Linked DNA regions of Drosophila melanogaster. The protein of the gene in region 2 purifies or fractionates together with the protein of the main gene of each other region. This does not show direct contact. Each region holds a gene or a part of one and is shown on either strand. Other genes may lie near its edges. The genes, in order: TBPH, Nipped-B and Mau2.

The links.
Region 1: the proteins of Nipped-B (region 2) and TBPH purify together in Drosophila melanogaster (affinity purification with western blotting; one study listed by BioGRID). This does not show direct contact.
Region 3: the proteins of Nipped-B (region 2) and Mau2 purify together in Drosophila melanogaster (affinity purification with mass spectrometry, with the first as the bait; one study listed by BioGRID). This does not show direct contact.

The regions. Positions count from the first base shown.
Region 1 is NT_033778.4:23,858,385-23,864,668, forward strand, and holds TBPH (TAR DNA-binding protein-43 homolog), read right to left. Parts: upstream 4,210-6,284; 5' UTR 3,063-4,209; coding exon 2,822-3,062; intron 2,760-2,821; coding exon 2,449-2,759; intron 2,392-2,448; coding exon 2,187-2,391; intron 2,132-2,186; coding exon 1,503-2,131; intron 1,444-1,502; coding exon 1,306-1,443; intron 1,234-1,305; coding exon 1,162-1,233; 3' UTR 683-1,161; downstream 1-682. Other genes in the region: bgcn (benign gonial cell neoplasm), read right to left, coding at 1-315; Cpes (ceramide phosphoethanolamine synthase), read right to left, coding at 4,786-5,964.
Region 2 is NT_033778.4:4,725,565-4,730,999, forward strand, and holds the start of Nipped-B (Nipped-B), read right to left. Parts: upstream 3,454-5,435; 5' UTR 3,215-3,453; intron 2,988-3,214; 5' UTR 2,936-2,987; coding exon 2,869-2,935; intron 2,788-2,868; coding exon 2,616-2,787; intron 2,561-2,615; coding exon 2,445-2,560; intron 2,390-2,444; coding exon 2,230-2,389; intron 2,171-2,229; coding exon 1,284-2,170; intron 1,225-1,283; coding exon 1,060-1,224; intron 1-1,059. UniProt on the Drosophila melanogaster protein: Plays a structural role in chromatin. Involved in sister chromatid cohesion, probably via an interaction with the cohesin complex.
Region 3 is NT_033777.3:15,206,728-15,211,940, reverse strand, and holds Mau2 (Mau2 sister chromatid cohesion factor), read right to left. Parts: upstream 2,738-5,213; 5' UTR 2,642-2,737; coding exon 1,224-2,641; intron 1,166-1,223; coding exon 685-1,165; 3' UTR 594-684; downstream 1-593. Other genes in the region: CG6654 (uncharacterized protein), read left to right, coding at 1-395; Spn88Eb (serpin 88Eb), read left to right, coding at 3,837-4,817, 4,880-5,179. UniProt on the Drosophila melanogaster protein: Required for association of the cohesin complex with chromatin during interphase. Plays a role in sister chromatid cohesion and normal progression through prometaphase.

The DNA.
Region 1 (6,284 bases), about 19 Mb from region 2:
AAGCTCCAAATCCTCCTTGCCCATCAAGGACTTCCTGCTCAGCAGCGTAAACATGTTCAGCGTAGCGCCCGAGGACAAAACCAGCGTCTTGGGCTCCTCCAGGTAGTGGCGACATGCCTGCTTGTACACCTTCACGCAGCTATTCCCGTTGACATGGACCACCTGCGATCGCAGCCCCAAGGAGCGGGCGTTGTTGGCGAATGCTTCGTGCTCGCTGGTGCGGAATGTGCACGGGAACTGCTGGCAGCAGCGCCGTCCCGCCAAGAAGTAGAGCAGCTGTTGCGGAATGTACTTGTCCTGGATGATGTGGTTCATTTCTGCTAGCTTCAAACAGATTGACACTAAATTAAGTGAAGTGCGCCGCAATGCGCGCGGCAATTGCAAGTTCCGTTATTGCCACCGTCGTGAAAATAGAAAAATGGCGGAATGGAACACAGGGCTGTATTTTCGCTGGCGCAAAGCTTGCTCATTAAGGGTATTCCTTGCATATACTCAAACAAATGTGTAGTGGAAATTTGTAAAAAAAAAAGATCCAGGTGTCATTACAAACTGAATTATAAAACATACTTTGTTATTTTCAAAGAATAAGAGATAAGTTTCCAAGACGGGAGAGTTTCCTTTACAGGAATATATTAAAATATTCAATTCACAATCCCATAGATTCCATTCAAATGAAATGATTCACTTTGTACTAATATGCTTTTGCATTCTTTATTTTTTGAAATGAATGTACATGTTAAATGAATTCTCCTCTAAAATGAGGCTGCGCCAAATTCGTTTAGATATCTTAAAGAAAACTTTGTTATATTGGAAATTCTCCGCAGATCCAGCATTATAAGTGCACAATCTTTATAACTAAACTTTCTTAGCGTAAGCCAAAATATATTTAATAAACAACAAAATACAAATCAAATTCTACTTAAGTGATACAATGATACAATTTTTACTGAGCTTTGGCGCAGAATTTATTTTGAAGTGTGTTTTATCAATTGTGTTATTAGCCATCCAGTGTCATCTTGTTTACAATTATCAAAATATCTATTACATATTAAATACAATTCTTAACTGGTTTGTATGTGGAATACATATATGTAAATTTAAGTAAGCTACAGAGGTGTTGGTTAACCACATTAACCACATCATTGGGTGACAGGCACCGCCTTAAAGAAAGTTTGACTTCTCCGCGGCGTTTTGAGATCCGCTGCTCTGGTTCGACCAACCGGTGTTCCCATTCTGGAATAGAGTAGAATAGATTCTGGCTGGGATCCAGGTTTCTTAGGGGATGGTTTCAGTTTTGACTCTAACCTGTGGCTCCGAGTTGTCGGTCTTTATTCCGTTGGCGGCCGGATTGTTGTTCGGGTTATTCGGCCCCTTCCGTCCACCAAAGTTGTTGGCATTGTTGTGGCCCCCGTTCTGAGCCATCCAAGATAGAAAATTGCCGCCCTGCGGAGCAAGTGAGAGAGTTTTTTGTTTGAAACAATGATTGAGGTGTGAAGGCTTGCCTGTTGGTCCTGGTTTTGGTTCTGCAGCTGGTTGCCGACCAGGCTCCACTGGTTCAAGGCGGCAGCGACCAGTGCGGGATTGATGGGCAATGAGTTGAGATTGAGCATTGACTGGTTGCTCATGTTTTGGCCCTGGTTGGAGGAGCTCGATCCCTGCGAGTTGATGCCCAGGGCCTGCAGGTTGGGCATGTCCAGGTGGCCACGGTTCATCCAGCCGTTGCTGCCGCCCACGTTGCCGTTATGCGGCTGGTTCATTCCGTGAAAATTCGACTGGCGACTGTTGTACTGGCTGCCGCCGTCCTGGCGGTTCGTGTTCCCGCCACTGGAGTGATTGCCGCCATTGTTGTGGTAGCCCCCGCCCGAGTTGCCGCCGTAATTGTTGCCACCCATGCCGTAGCCGGCGGTGCCAATGTTGTGATTATTGGGCACAATTGCGTTCTCACCGCCGTGAGCATTGTGTTGGTTATTACCTCGGTGGTGTCCGTTGCGGCCCGGATTCATGTGGTTACCCTGTGGGTGGTATGAGTGCATGCCAAAGCTGTTGGCAGAGTTGTAGTTGTAGCTCTGGACCTGTTGGTTTCTGTTCTGCTCGGCCTTTGGAGCAGCATTCGACACATGGACCGAAACGCCTGTGGAAAGTGTCTCATTAATTCCCTGATTCTTCTCCACGCGGCAGTGACTCACCCTTGATAATGTGATCCTCTCCGCACAGGGACTGTGCCACGTCGGGATCAAGGAAGGTTACAAAGCTAAAGGCCCTGAAGGGCCGGGGAATGAACACATCAGTGACTTCGCCAAACTTGGAGAAATACTCGCGCAAGTCGTCCGAGTTAATGTCCTCGGTGCAGCGGCCCACGAACACCTTGCAAGGCACCTGGTGGCCCATGCCCTATGAGAATAGAAGGATTAGTAGGCGTGAAATTGCAGGGCTAACAAGAGGACTTACCTTCGAGTTGGGCACCTTAACCTCGCACCAGCGACCGTCGATCAGATGGCGATTGGTGAGCACGCGCATCTGGGCATCGTAAGAGCCGAAGCGCACGAAACCGAAGCCCTTGGACTGGCCCGACTTGGTGTCCTTCTTGATCTGGGCCATCAGCACCTCGCCGTAGGTCTCGAAGTACTCACGCAAGCTCTCCTCTGTGGTCTTCCACGGCAAGCCGAGCACGATGAGATCAGTGCAGCGCAGACGGGTCTCGATGCGTTTGGTCTTGGCAGTTGAGTTCTCCAAGTTATCGTCGCTCTTGCGCTTGTTCTCTGCAGGGGGGGATTACAGAATTATTTAAGGTTCAACAGGGAGTCATACAACTCGAATTTACCCTTGGGAAAGACGCAAAAGTAAGCGTACTCGCCCCAGCCGGACTCCACGCTGGGCGGAAACAGTCTGCCCTCGTTGGAGCGAACTCCGCGCACAGCCTTCGTGTCCAGGTTGCGGTACTTCAGACCGCAGGATCCAGGGAACTGAGCTTGCAGTGTGGACAGAAGCAGAGTGCCATCCTCCTCAGCCGGCAGCTCGATGGGCTCGTCGCCCTCCTCCTCCGACACTTGAACGAAATCCATTTCCTAGAAGGCTGCTAGAAACGAGGAGGGGATTAAAGAACTCTATCGCCGCAGGGGCTCACACTTCGCTCTAGAAATGATCCACCATGTCATTCAGTCAACGGAAGCATCCCACATATTCTGCATCGCTGCATTCATGAATGCACTCACTCAGTTCATCCGTTCTATTCAGATGCATCCCAAGGTACAATATTCAACACAAAAAGGTTGCCCCGAACCACTCTATACACACATTGCTCGTGGGACCAAGCCAAAACAAAAAGGATCCTACACTAGGTCAATCTACTAAAAACGACAAATAAACAATGTTTCTATCTCTTGTAATTTCGATGATATAATTTTAGTAAGTATTACAAACATATTCATATATTATTAGTGTTCATGTTTAGGCGTTTCTTTACGTTATTATTAGTTAAAAATTCTCTGAATCAGACGCTACTTATGTCCCACCATCGGCTAAATGCCTATTCTACGTACATTTAGTTAATAAACAAAAGAAGAATACCCAATCCCAAGTTTACGATGTATGGCATACATATGTATATGTTTTGAACTACTCAAGAAAACAGATATTTCACCCACTTAATACGAGTAAACTGACGTTTGTGAGTGTGGAATCGCGGCAGGAATTGGAAAATCAATGAATGAAAGCCACATAAATTGAAAATATCCAATCCTGTCGTCTGTGTGTGAGTGCAAGTGTGTGGCACACACACACACGCACACAAACGCAATCGTCGAGGGGAGGACATAATGTGTAGACGGAGGCAGTTTGGCGGTCCTAAAAGATGGTTGGTTACACAACAATTCTTACACTATTGACAGGGATTAGTTGGTTGCTGTAATTTCTGACTGCGTATGGCAAGTAGATATAGATTTCTGATCCCAGATCTCAGATCGCACGCTCTCTCACACGAATTCGATTCACACCCAGGCAAAATCAGGTATTCACTGTACGTTCCACGCTCGGTTCTTGACACAACACACGCTTCGATGCACAACCACTTTCAATCGGTGCGAAATAGGAATCAGGTAATATTTACAATTGACAGCTTAACAAATTTTCAAACGACGAGTGAAGCATTTCTTCTCGCTTTCCGTTTTGATTTTCTTTTCCTTTGTATGTATCGCCTGACGTATGCGCAGTGTGGCCGAACAGGGCTAGTGAGAAATACCAGCCGGCGGGTAGATATACTAAAAGTGTATTATTTTTAGTTAAAACAGTGCATTGTCACATAAATTTTAATAGCCTCTTTATTAAACTATATGAGCGTTGATTGCCACTATGAATATCTAAGCAATATATTACATTACAATATGGCAATTATATTGGCATTTGGTACTGTCGAATAAAATACCAAACCTTGCAGTGCTGCCCATCAGCTATACCAAAAAAAAACTTGGCAGCATTGCGCATCGTGTTCATTTGAAATTTCGAAACACAAAACATTATAAATAAATTCAAACGAAATTAGCTCGCCATGGAAATGCGTACGATAAAAACAGCTAGACTTTATTAATCAATAACATTTATTATTTACAGCTGAAGGAGTTTCGATTGCTCTTGCAGACCGCGCTTGAATGACAAAATGCATTAGTTGGTTTCGAAATATTAATGATTGGCTAACAATTATGATACATTATTATTTATACACAATTAAAAAAGGCATCGCTGATTTGCACTACACAAATATTATTGTATTTTCTCGTAATATTAGTAAAATCACAGTGAAATATTACTGCACGCCGTAGAGTTGAAAATGTAGTTCTGGGCCTCCAGAATGTGCATTTCAGTTAAACATATAGCAACTAACAGGATAATGTAACCGCTGTACCGGATCGCGCGCAGGAAGTCCCACAGCTTGTCGCAGAAGATGCTCAGCAGGACGCAGTGCAGCAGGGCGTGCACGTTGACGATGCGCCACATCCAGGCGACGCAGAAGAACCAGGTCGACTTGAACACGTAATCCTGGCAATGCGACTGGTTGCCGCTCACGTCCTCGCGCTCCAGCATGTTCTGGTAGACGGCAATGTAGCGATTCCACGCCGTCGAGCTCAGCAGCAGCTGGCCCGTGAAGCTGATCACGTTCTTGGCCACCTTGCGCGTGGTGGCCTTCATCTTCGGTATCATCATGGTGGGCTCCGGCAGCTTGGAGTCGCTCATGGGTATGATCGAGTAGCCCCTCCGCGGTGGATTGTTCTTCAGGTAAAAGAATATGCCCAGCAGCAGCGCAATGCAGCCGAGTCCGTCGCACAGGCCGTCCACATAGTAGCCGGAGGTGCCGATCTCCGAGCGCTCGCCGCGTATGTGCTTGCGCACGCGCGCCACATGCCCGTCCAGGTCGTCCAGGAAGGTGCGGATCTGGAAGAGCAGCACGCCCAGCCGCCGATAGCCCAGGCTGTCCGAGGCCACCAGTTTGCCCGCCAGACAGGCCACGCCCACATGGAAAAACGATATCATGTTGGGCGTGATGAAGGTGGAGCGCGAGAAGCCGATCACGTTGTCGAACATGGTGGCCAGCGGGGCGAACAGGTAGTGGTTGGTGTGGTCCAACAGAATGGCCTTCACGGTCACATGGCAAAGCGGATTTATATCACAGGATATCCAGGTGTGGTCCTCGTAGGACGGCTGCCGGTCGCCGGCGGTGGGTAGTTTCGTACTGGTGCTGCTGCTACTGCTGCTGCTGCTGCTGCTGCTACCACCGATGCTGCCGGACCCGGACTCCGAGGTGGACGGACCCACGACGGAGGCGGGCAGCGAGACATTCGTGTGATAGTTCCTCTCGATGGCATAGTTGTGGATGCGCAGGTAGAGCTCCACGTCCATGAAAACGTAGAAGATGATCAGCAGGAACAGCAGGGTGAGCAGGATCTTGCTGATCTGCGAACTGGGTCCGATCATGGTGACACTTTGAGGTAGCGCTTAACACTAAGTTCTTATCGGGCTGATTTCAGGGCGCAGCTGTGGGGCGGAAAGAAGTGAAGCTGATCAATATGGTTTATCGAAGCGAAGTAGTTGTCAAGATAAGCCGCGCACGGCATAAAAAGTTTGGCAAGCAACATGCAGGGTTTTGAAATCCCCTTCTGAAATTCTGAAATCGTATATGCGATCATAATAATGCTCAGCTATCAAAGAGTGAAAGCTAACAACTAACCACTGGCAATGCGTTCTTATCGAAGGAATTTTTGACACTTTGGGGAGCGACCGCAGTGACGAAAGAG
Region 2 (5,435 bases):
TCACCCTAATTAGATTTGAATTCCTGATAAAAAAAAATACTTATGCTATCAATACCCTTCTCTGATTCTGTTCAACTAAATAACAAGGTCAATGCGTGCAATCAACAAGCGTTTTACTAAAATCACTGAAAGAAATGTATTATTTATTATTATTACTTGATTATTGTCAAAACTGTGACTTAAAACTGTAACTACCTCCTAAGTACCTCAGTAACCTTTCAGCTAACCCATGACAAGGAGAATCAAGAGGGTTAAAGAAATACACGGATCATCCAGATGATCAAAGCTGGCATTCCTTTGATGGTTTAAACCAGTACCAAGTTGGCAAAAAATCGGAATATATTGACAAGATTTGTCACCAATAAAAACTCTGTGGACAGCCTTCGTCTTATGAAAAAGAAAATATAGTCGTAAGCCTAGCTCAATAGTATTGTGAAGTTATAGGGCAAGCTTTAGAGATAACGAAATTGCTGTATTTAGTCGATTTTAGTATGTTCCTGTTTTTTCACATATTTTTAATTTTTTAAATTTCTATCGATTTGCCAAAAACTTTTTGCCACGCCCACTCTAACGCCCTAAAGCTGTCAAACCGGTCAACCACACACTTTAGAGCAATTTAAAAAACATTTCTCATTTTATTCCCCAATATTAATTGGGGAATGCATTCAAGCTTTCGCTGCATCAATTTCGCTGCATCAATATTAATTGGGGAATGCATTCAAGCTTTCGCTGCATCTTTGTCTCTAGAATTTGAATGCTGAATATCAACCTTCTAGTTCATATATTTCCTCCAATCTCGACGTTCATACGGACAGAGTGATATGACTAGATCGAATCGGCTATTGATCCTGATCAAGGATATACATATATACTTAATATAGACGGAAACGCTTTATTCTGCCTGTAACATACTTTTCAACGGATCTAGTATACCCCTTTACTCTAAGAGTAACGGGTAAAAATATTTGTAAACATAAGTGTCAATTAATCGAACTAATTAATAATAGGTCTTAAAGTTTCATAAATATTCTCTAGCTTTAACAGAGTATTTGAACTTACCTGAGTCAAAGTTAGGAGATTCACTATCGTCTAATATTTCAATTATGTGATCCATGTTTCGAATAAATTGTTGATATGTTTGCGAACGGGTGACTTCCTCCTTCACACACTTTGTGTTCGAAAGAGGTGTAATTCTTTCGACCCGACGCATTTTAGGCTTTGAAACTATAATATAATTTTGATCAATTAATTTTTGTATAAGGAAATTATTACTCATTACTTACATATTTGTTCCGGTGGGATGTCACCAATTGATATGGCAAGTTTTCTTTTCGCGGATCGTTTTTCATCGGCTTTTATAGTAGAAAATGTATCAATAGGGATTTTGACTGTATTATTTGTACTGGAAGCACGACTCTCTAATACACATTCTTCCGCACTCGTGGGTATAATATTCAAGTTTTCATGTTGCTGCTGGCACGTTTCTTGTAGTAACCCCATGCTTCTAGCCAATTCTGGTGACTTTTGTACAAACTTTTTAATACTCTGTTGCATAAGGCGAGAATCCTCAATACTAAGGCGATTTATACATACCCGGACCTGGGACTTGCCACTTGAGGAAGTAGATGTCGATGTAGTTGTTGATACATTTTGGTTCGTTTGGTACGTTGAACTTTTATTAATAATATGTAAGCTGGTATTTTCTAACACCTGTTGTCGATTTAAAATGCTGACGTCAAGAATTTGTGATTTTTTTTTTTTTAAATATTCAATTGAAGAGTGGTGTGCTTGAGTTGGTTCTGATTCAGTGAAAGGTGGACTTTGTACATATAACATGTTTGGGATATTTACAGAATTTAAATTAAAATTTGACGGCTCTTGGGGAAAAGTATCAGAAATATTTTGAATTTGACCAACATTTGTTGATACTTGGTTTAAATCATGTTTTAAATTATAATTGGCTTCTTGTTGCTGAATAAAAAACTGTTCTTGTATTGATTGCACCGTACTTCTTTCTGGTGTGTTAGACTTTTTTTTTAGAGTATTTTGTGAAAGTATCTTAGTCACATTTAAATCTGAATTTTCAATAACGTCAATTTTATCTTTTTCTGTTGCATTTTCCTTAAAATTTATTTGTGAAAATTCTTCTAAGATTTCTTTTGAGGTCATACTAAAACAGAAAAATGCATTAAATATAAGGCTTGTAGAATAATAAAATATATACGCCACCTAGTAAGCTGATTGAAGCAGGCTTGAGCGTCTTGCAATTGATGTTCATTTGAAATCGACAAATTTGTTGGTGATGCATAACATTCCGGTATTGAATAGGAATCAATTTGCATTTTCTTTGCCTCTAATCGAGCATTAGCAGTATGTTGGTCCGGAGAGTCTGTGGATGAAATTCATGTAATACACAAATGGTTGCTTTTATTATTAAAACATACGTATTTTTATGGAAGTGTTAAAAACCGCTGGGCGAAAATGATATATTCCCTGGAGAAGCTCAGGATAAGTACTACAGTTAGTTGCTGTGTCTTGAACTGGGCAATGTATTAACTCTCTAAAATACAAGTTATTTTAATAAAGCAAAACATACAATCAATTAAACAACTAACATATTATCGGAGTTTGTTCTCTCAATGGCAGTTACCAATTGTCGAACTAGATTTTCGTTTCGCATAGAAAGTAAATTGCTAGACTCGTTAGCTACCAAAGCATGGAACAATAAAGATTTATTTAAGGACGCAGCACTCTGGAGCGAATCCGCCACTGGTAGCTCGCTTAGCACTTGCATTTAAACGAGAAAAATATTAAAAGTTTTTAAACTTGTACATACACATTATATTTTCTTGCACAGAAAATACTTACAATCAGAAGTGCTGGTTAAACCAGCTAATGTTGTTACAGGTACGGTTGGGTTGTCACGTTCCCCCATATTAAATGTAAGGATAATCCGATAGATTACAACACAACTTTGATTCTAGGAGCTAAAAAAAATAAATCTATTATTCATTACGCTACAACCAAACATTATTTCATCAACATGATAAACAATGTAATTGGAAACAATGTTTATATGAATATATTAAAATATATGGATGTTGTCCAGCTGTATTATAAGTCACTTTATGTACTATCTTATCTTTTTAGTTTATAAATTAAAAATCTATTAGATAAATCCCTTTAAATTGATTTATAATAAACAACTACTTACGTAGTTAAAAAAATTGCGGTAGCATTACCATTTACCGTTATGTTATTGCGATCAACAATTATTAACGAATTGCCACAGTTCAATATAAACGAATTACTCCGGTTCTCCTTTGCGTTTTAATTAAATACCAACTTATACATTTACAATAATAAGTACTTGTAATTTTTTAGTTTGCGAAATAGTGTTTGAAGAATATGGCCGACCTGTAGGATAGTGTGGCCGCGCTAAACTTAATAAAAAAATACCTTTTCAGACCGAAACGTTAATACTTCATATATAATACTCCTTTCCAGACTATGTAGTTACACACCAACTCAATAAAACGTAGAGAGCTTGGATGTTTGAAAGATATTTCTAAAAGAAAAATGTTTTATTGCAATTTAGGGCATTACCGACTTGAAGCTACTTCTCCTGTCCCGATACTTATTTCAATAAATGTTAACAGTGAAAACGAGTCGATAAAAAGGTCTTCATTAGGAAATGCCGTTCAAAACGGCAAAACAACCGATATCGCATAATCTCTTTTTCCATATGAAATGCGTATGCTTACAAGATATGAATATTCAAGGATGTGCAATTGTATGCGAATAAATCGATTTTGTTTTAGTTCATTTCTTCCAGATCATGGATCTTGGGAAAACAAATTATTGATATATGATATATGATTACCTTACCTTTTTGTGCAATTATACGTAAAATTATTTTCTACAGGCTTAAAACAAATTTGCGTCTTGGTAAAGTCAATTGTCCTTCTCATACATGAGAAATATTTTGTGAATTAATAATTCAACGATTGAAGAACAATTGGCAATAAATGTGGAGCTCGTAGCCGGTACCTGCAGAGCTCGATCAATCGAATTATAGTCGAAAAGCGCCACATAGCGTCGTTTTATTGAGCATGTTTGCTCACTTACTAAAAACTTACCTTACATTGAGTGTGCGAGAGTGTGAAAAAAATTGGCCTAAAAAAATTGCTTACAAAGCGCGCACATACCGGTTCACAAAGGGAGACTAAATGAGTCGGTAGGCGGATTCGGCGGAGGTGGGCACCCAATTTACGGCCACCAAATATAAATGCATAATCAGCCTTTCCACGCTTACCAAAGGCTTAGGGCATACTCAACGTATATATCGTATATGCATACGTATTCTTTTTCTCTCCCCTGCTGCAAAACAGCAATACTGTGAGGGGTCTTAAAACTCACAATAAGTCCAGGAGAACAGAGCAGAAAGCAGTAATGCGGGAGGAGTCAGGTCAAACGCTGAAGATTGGACCTTGGACCCCGGTAAAGCGGAGAGACCGGCCAAGGGCACAGAGGTCGAACGGTAAAGGTGTTTACTGGACACGTGGACCTTGGACTCTAGCGAGCCGTGCGTAACGGGAAAATAAAACAGCCTATAGACGGCAGCAGCGCCTCTGGACCAGGCAGCTAAAGCATGTAGTGAGTAATAAGTGCACGAGGGTAGTCGAGCAGTGTATGGGCGGGAGTCTCAAAGTCAGGACGCGGACGCGTGGGTCCGTCAAGTGAAAACACAATTCAGGAGCAAAGTTCAGTGTGGGAACAGAAATTTTCTTAAACTAGACCCAGTTGGTATTATTGTTTGTAATAGAGCTGGAAAACCATCGATGGAACTATCGATACTATCGATGGTTTTAAGTATCGGTGTGAGATTTCTTCCGCAAAATCACCCGCAAAATGACATTCGGTGCGAATCGTGGCGACCCTTTCGCATCGATCCGTCCAGGGCGCGTTTAGCTTTCTCGGCATTGGGATGATAGTCGACCTTTAGGAATTTAAAGTTCTTATCCAGGTTCGAGAAGATCTCGCTAATCGTATGGCTCGTATGGCTTGAACGTCTCGCGTAGCTCAGCGTCGGTGATGTCATTGGTCAGGTTGCCCACATAGAGACGATTTCGATGGGAGAACTTCGTCTCCGTGGGCACTTCCACTGTTTCCAGTTCAAAGGTGGGCCCAGAAATCCTGCGAAACCGATGTTAAATGATGAAGTCTTCACAGCCGCGCGGACCACCATCTCCATCGCTACCACCACCCATATTGGTGCTGTTCATCGTGCCACCTGCACCTCCGCCAGGGCGTGGACCACGCTACTACCGACTACGGTTTCGGTTGTCTGCTGGTTCTGCGGGCTTCCGGAGAAACCGCCACCTTGATTGTTACCAGCATTGCGACCTCTGAATCCTTGACCACTTCCCTGAATT
Region 3 (5,213 bases), on a different chromosome or scaffold from region 2:
GCTCCCTGGCCAAGCACAAACGAAAGCACACTGGCGAACGGCCATACGCCTGCGATCTCTGCCCCATGAGATTCACTGCCCTCAATGTGCTAAAGAACCACCGAAGGACGCACACAGGTGAGCGGCCGTACGTCTGTCCCTTCTGCTCGAAGACCTTTACGCAGCGGGGTGACTGCCAGATGCACCAGCGTACACATCAGGGCGAGCGGATCTACATTTGTCCGGTGTGCAATGAGGAGTTCAAGTCGATGCCCGAGATGCGATCACATCTGGCCGGCCACGAGCAGCACGACAAACGCCTGGTGCACTTCACATTTCTAAGCAACAAGGAAAACGGAAGCGGGGCCCTTGAAGAGGAACTTAACGAGATGACCGAGTCTGCGCTTATGCTATAAATCAATGTAGAAGCTGTGCAAGCAAGGCGGCTTTTGTAAAGGTGGTTGAGTTTGCCTAATACCCAAGACGGATCCTTACTTTTAATTGTAATAATGATTATAATCCTAAGTTGAACGACCCAACTCAAATGCGCACAACTCATCCGCTTTACATTTCCGTCTACTCTTTCCCTCGGGAACACAGTTTATGACAAAATTCACAACTTTAGAACATCTTTAGTCTTAACTTAGTCGCTAGGTCGTAGATAAAAATAAAAGCTTAAAGTTACATTGCATAATCATCTCATTGCTAGTAGAACTGACCGTATTGCCCCGCCGGCTGCATGGCTGTCGATGTGGAGGCGATGACGGGGACTGAGGCTGTAACGGAGGACTCTGGCATGAGCAGGACGGGAGCAGCCGGCGGACCACTCGTCACTGGCGGATCGCCCTGGAACCAGTTGACGAGTTCGTGATGCGCACTTTGGACGCACTTGCGCTGGTCTGCAATCAGGTTCTCCGAGTATTTAACGTGGTTAGCATAAGCATCTTTTTCATGCTGCACATCCTTTGACATACGATGCAGGTCCTTTAGTATTGCCGATCCCCACAGCTGGACGTGGATGTCGGGTATCTTACTGGCCAGTTGCATGGCCGGCGTCACCATGTTCATGCTTTCCTTTGAGTTTCCGATGCTGAGAAAGACGTGCGATAGCAAAACCAACGAGCAGCTGGTCAGTCGGTTGAGGTCTTCGGCGTTGGCCATTTTCAGAGTTTCACGCAGAAAGCGTCTGAAAAGAATAAAGATTATCAGTTTACATTCTAGAGTCTTGGCTTAAGGTGACTAACTTCGCCTCGTGGAAGCTATTTTTGTGAAAAGCATGCAGTCCCTGGACGTAGTAGAAGCCTCCCATCAGCGCTTGACTGCTATACGTGTGCGTGTTTTCCGTTGAGACGGCATCCAGGATTTGCTTGAGGTCCGTGTCCCGCTTGGTGCGCAGATAAATGATCGCCAGGTTGAGGTTGGCAAACAGTTTCAGGTCTCGCTCGCTGGTCTCACTCACGCACACGACGAACTGCCTCTCCGCATGCTCAAAGAGGTTGGTGGACATGGAGTAGAGCCCGATGAGGCAGTGCAGCTGAGCCGAGTGTCGCCGTAGCAGGCTGCGTTGCGGAGCGGCCATGCAAACGTCTCTCGCGGCTGCTATTTCCCGGATAGCCAGTTCCCGGTTGCCCATCACCATGCGGCACATCACAATGTGCTCCAGCAGAATCACCTTGAATACGGATAGAATGGGTTTGTCCTCCTGTTGCTTAAGTTTTTCGATCTGGGTGAGTGCTTTTTCCGTGTACTTTTGTGCTTTGTCCATGTAGCCCGCCATCATTGAGTGGGAGACAGTGACCAGATAGACCAGGACGTACAGCTGCTCCTTGGGCAGCCACACAAACATCTCGAGTTGATTTGCCCCGAAAATCGCCTCATCCGAAGGCCAATTTGGCGCCATTATCGTTTGTATGGACATCTGCAGCTGTTTGAGACTAGGCTTCACCGTTTTTACCTGCCCGAGGGCCAGGTAGTAGCACACCTGTAGCACCAGGAAAAACACCTTCAGGTACTCCTTCTGGTGTGGATTGGGTATGTTGTTGTCAATGATTTGGCCGGCGGAGTTGAGCAGGGCGAGCACGTCGTTGGTCTTGCGCTCGATCATAAGGATCATGGCGCGCGAGAGCAGGAAGAGCACTTTCAGGTACGTGGCGCTCGCCTCGTCGGCACTTTCCGCGCCCACGGCCAGCAGTTCGGAGGCCAGCGAGTACTCGCGATCGCTGGCATGTATTTGGGCCAGCTGGAGCAGCAGCTTGCAGTGCCAATAGACGTTGTTTTGCGACAGTTCCACGGCCCGCCGGAGCATCGCCTTGGCCTGATGCGAGTTTCTGTCCGTCTGCAGATGCAGTTGGGCCAGCAGCGAGGCGGTGTCGAACTTAACGTCGAAATTGGGCAGCGGTTCGGATATGCTCCACGCCTTCTCCAAATGCTGGCGCGCCAGATCGATGTTCTTAGTGTAGGCCATCAGGATCTGGCCCATCTGCAAATGTGTCCGCGCCTCGACCTTCGAGGGCGGCATAAATGTGAACAGGGCTTGAAGACACTGGATGCATTTCTTGATGTTCGGCGGCTGCGAGGTGCGGAAGTACTCCGCCAGGCCAAGGAGCGATATGTAGCAGGCGTCCTGGGACGCCGCCGTCGACGTGCTCGTCGATGCACTCATTTCGGTGAGCGGGTGCCAAATTCGGTTTGTTTATCGCGTAATTTTGTTGTCAATTCGCGACTATTCAATCACGGTGGTGGCTGCCAGTGTTGTCAAGTGCGGAATTCTAGTGGTGAACCAAGCTTTAGCGGTTATCGTTTAGCAGTCACAGTGGCAGTCACTCTTTTTCAGTACCGCGAATGGTCCCGTTCAGCAGAACATAAAACTTGAAAAAAGCTATCGCTTAAAAACAAAACTGAGTAGATAATATATATTTCTGTACGAATCAAAAATTATTTCTTTTTGCAGTAATCAACTAAATAAATTTAATAAATATAGAAAAATGAGATAATATTATTTAAACATGGTAAATTTAGCAGAACTCCAATTAGGAAACCAATTCTTACTTTAAATCACTGTTTAGAAAAACCGTCTTATTTCAGTGACGGAACAGTACGTTATCAATTTAAATTCGAGGATCAGCTGCGATTTCGCCCGCTTATCGCATTATTCTCATTATTTTTAAGCCTAGCTCTGCCGTTTATTGCCACATGCATTAGTCAGTGATTGTAAGTGCAATCGGTTGGACCACCATTGTTTCCGTTTTGATTTAAGTTCTGTGCAAAATTCCGTTAAGGTAAAACCCAAGATTCTTTTAAAATAAATATTTCATACGCTTGTATCAATAACGACTATACATAATAATTTATGTTTGCAATCGATTTAAACACATACTCCGGCACATGAAAGTTTCTTATCAGTATAAATATACTATATAATATATATATATATATAAATATATATGTTATAAGAATTATGATGAATACAAGAAATACAGAATTCTAGGAAATGTGAAGAAAGAGATTTTTTTAATGGTTCTGAGAAACTTGTCTCAGTTGGGCTCGTGTCAATGTTTATATTTAAAATCCTATTGTAAAAAGCTCATTTTTAATAGTCCGACAAAATTTGGATGTGCCACAAAGTCGATTAAGGATTCCAACACTATCTCTGGCAAAATCCCACAATATACATACATATGAACAATAAACTATAATGTTATGAGGCCAAGATTATTTAATGATTCATGTTTTTTCTTTGGAAAAATTCACATTGTGAGAAATAATATCACATCCTTCACTATTTATTAGTTCTAGTTCATAAATTCTTTATAGTTCATACTTAATGAATGTCCTTAAATTTTTAGACAGTACCAACTATGCACACCTTCAGTTTGGTCCTGTTGGCCCTCCTTCCCGTAGTAACCATAGCTGCCTTGGACAAGCCGGAGCTATCATTTCTAAATGAATTCTCACAAATTTTCAAGGGAGAACGAGACTTCTCCTTAGCATTAATGAAACAGATCCGAGAGATATATCCCAGCGGCAATCTGTTCTTCTCGCCGTTCAGCACCTACAACGCCCTGCTCCTCGCCTACTTCAGTTCCTCCGAGCAGACGGAACGTGAGCTGGCCCAGGCACTGAACCTGGGATGGGCATTAAACAAACAGCAGGTCCTAGTTTCGTACACGTTGGCACAGAGGCAGGACGAATTTCGTTGGCGCCAAAGTCCCATGGAGCTCTCGTCTGCGAACAGAATTTTCGTCGACAGGACAATAAATGTTTCCAACAAATTCAACACTTTACTCTACGGGGCAACCAAAGAATTGGATTTCAAGAATGATCCGGAGACTGGCCTAAAGGAAATTAACGACTGGATAGCCGATAAGACGCACAACCAGATCCGCGACATGCTCAGCTCCGAGGAGATCACACCCCACACCATGTTGGTGCTGGCCAACGCCGCCTACATGAAGGGCCAGTGGCTCAGCCAGTTCAAGGTGGAGGAGACCGCCTTGAAGCCATTCTTCATTAACGAGCGTGAGCAGGAAATGGTTTACATGATGCACAAGACGGGCGCCTTCAAGATGACCATCGATGAGGGCTTGCAATCGCAGATCATCAAGCTGCCCTACCGCACCATATACAAGTCGAAGGAGACGCACATTTCCACCCCCGAGTCCAAATCCGATATCTCCATGATTATCATTCTGCCGAACTCCAACAAAATCAGTCTTAACCGTGTCATATCCCGGCTAAATGCCGATTCCGTTAAGAAATGGTTCGAACGGGCATTGCCGCAGAAGATCGAGTTGTCGCTGCCCAAGTTCCAGTTTGAGCAGCGCCTGGAACTGACCCCTGTAAGCTATGACCTAACTGGACCACTTGAGTCGCACTAACACGTAAGCTGTTACCTTTTCAGATCCTCAGCTTAATGGGAGTGAACACAATGTTCACGAGAAACGCCACCTTTGGAGACCTGACTGCCGATCCCATTTCCCTTGTCATCGATGACGCCCAACATCTGGCCAAGATCAAAGTGGACGAAGTGGGCAGCACTGCGGCAGCGGCCACCATCCTCTTGGTCAGCCGATCCAGCAGGCAGCCCGATCCCACCAAATTCAACTGCAACCACCCGTTCGTGTTTCTTATCTATGATGAAAAGGTAGACACGATTCTCTTTGCGGGCGTCTACAGCGATCCCAGGCAAATGCAGCACTAGAAGTGTTTTAAGACTTGTGTGTTTTTGAAAAACT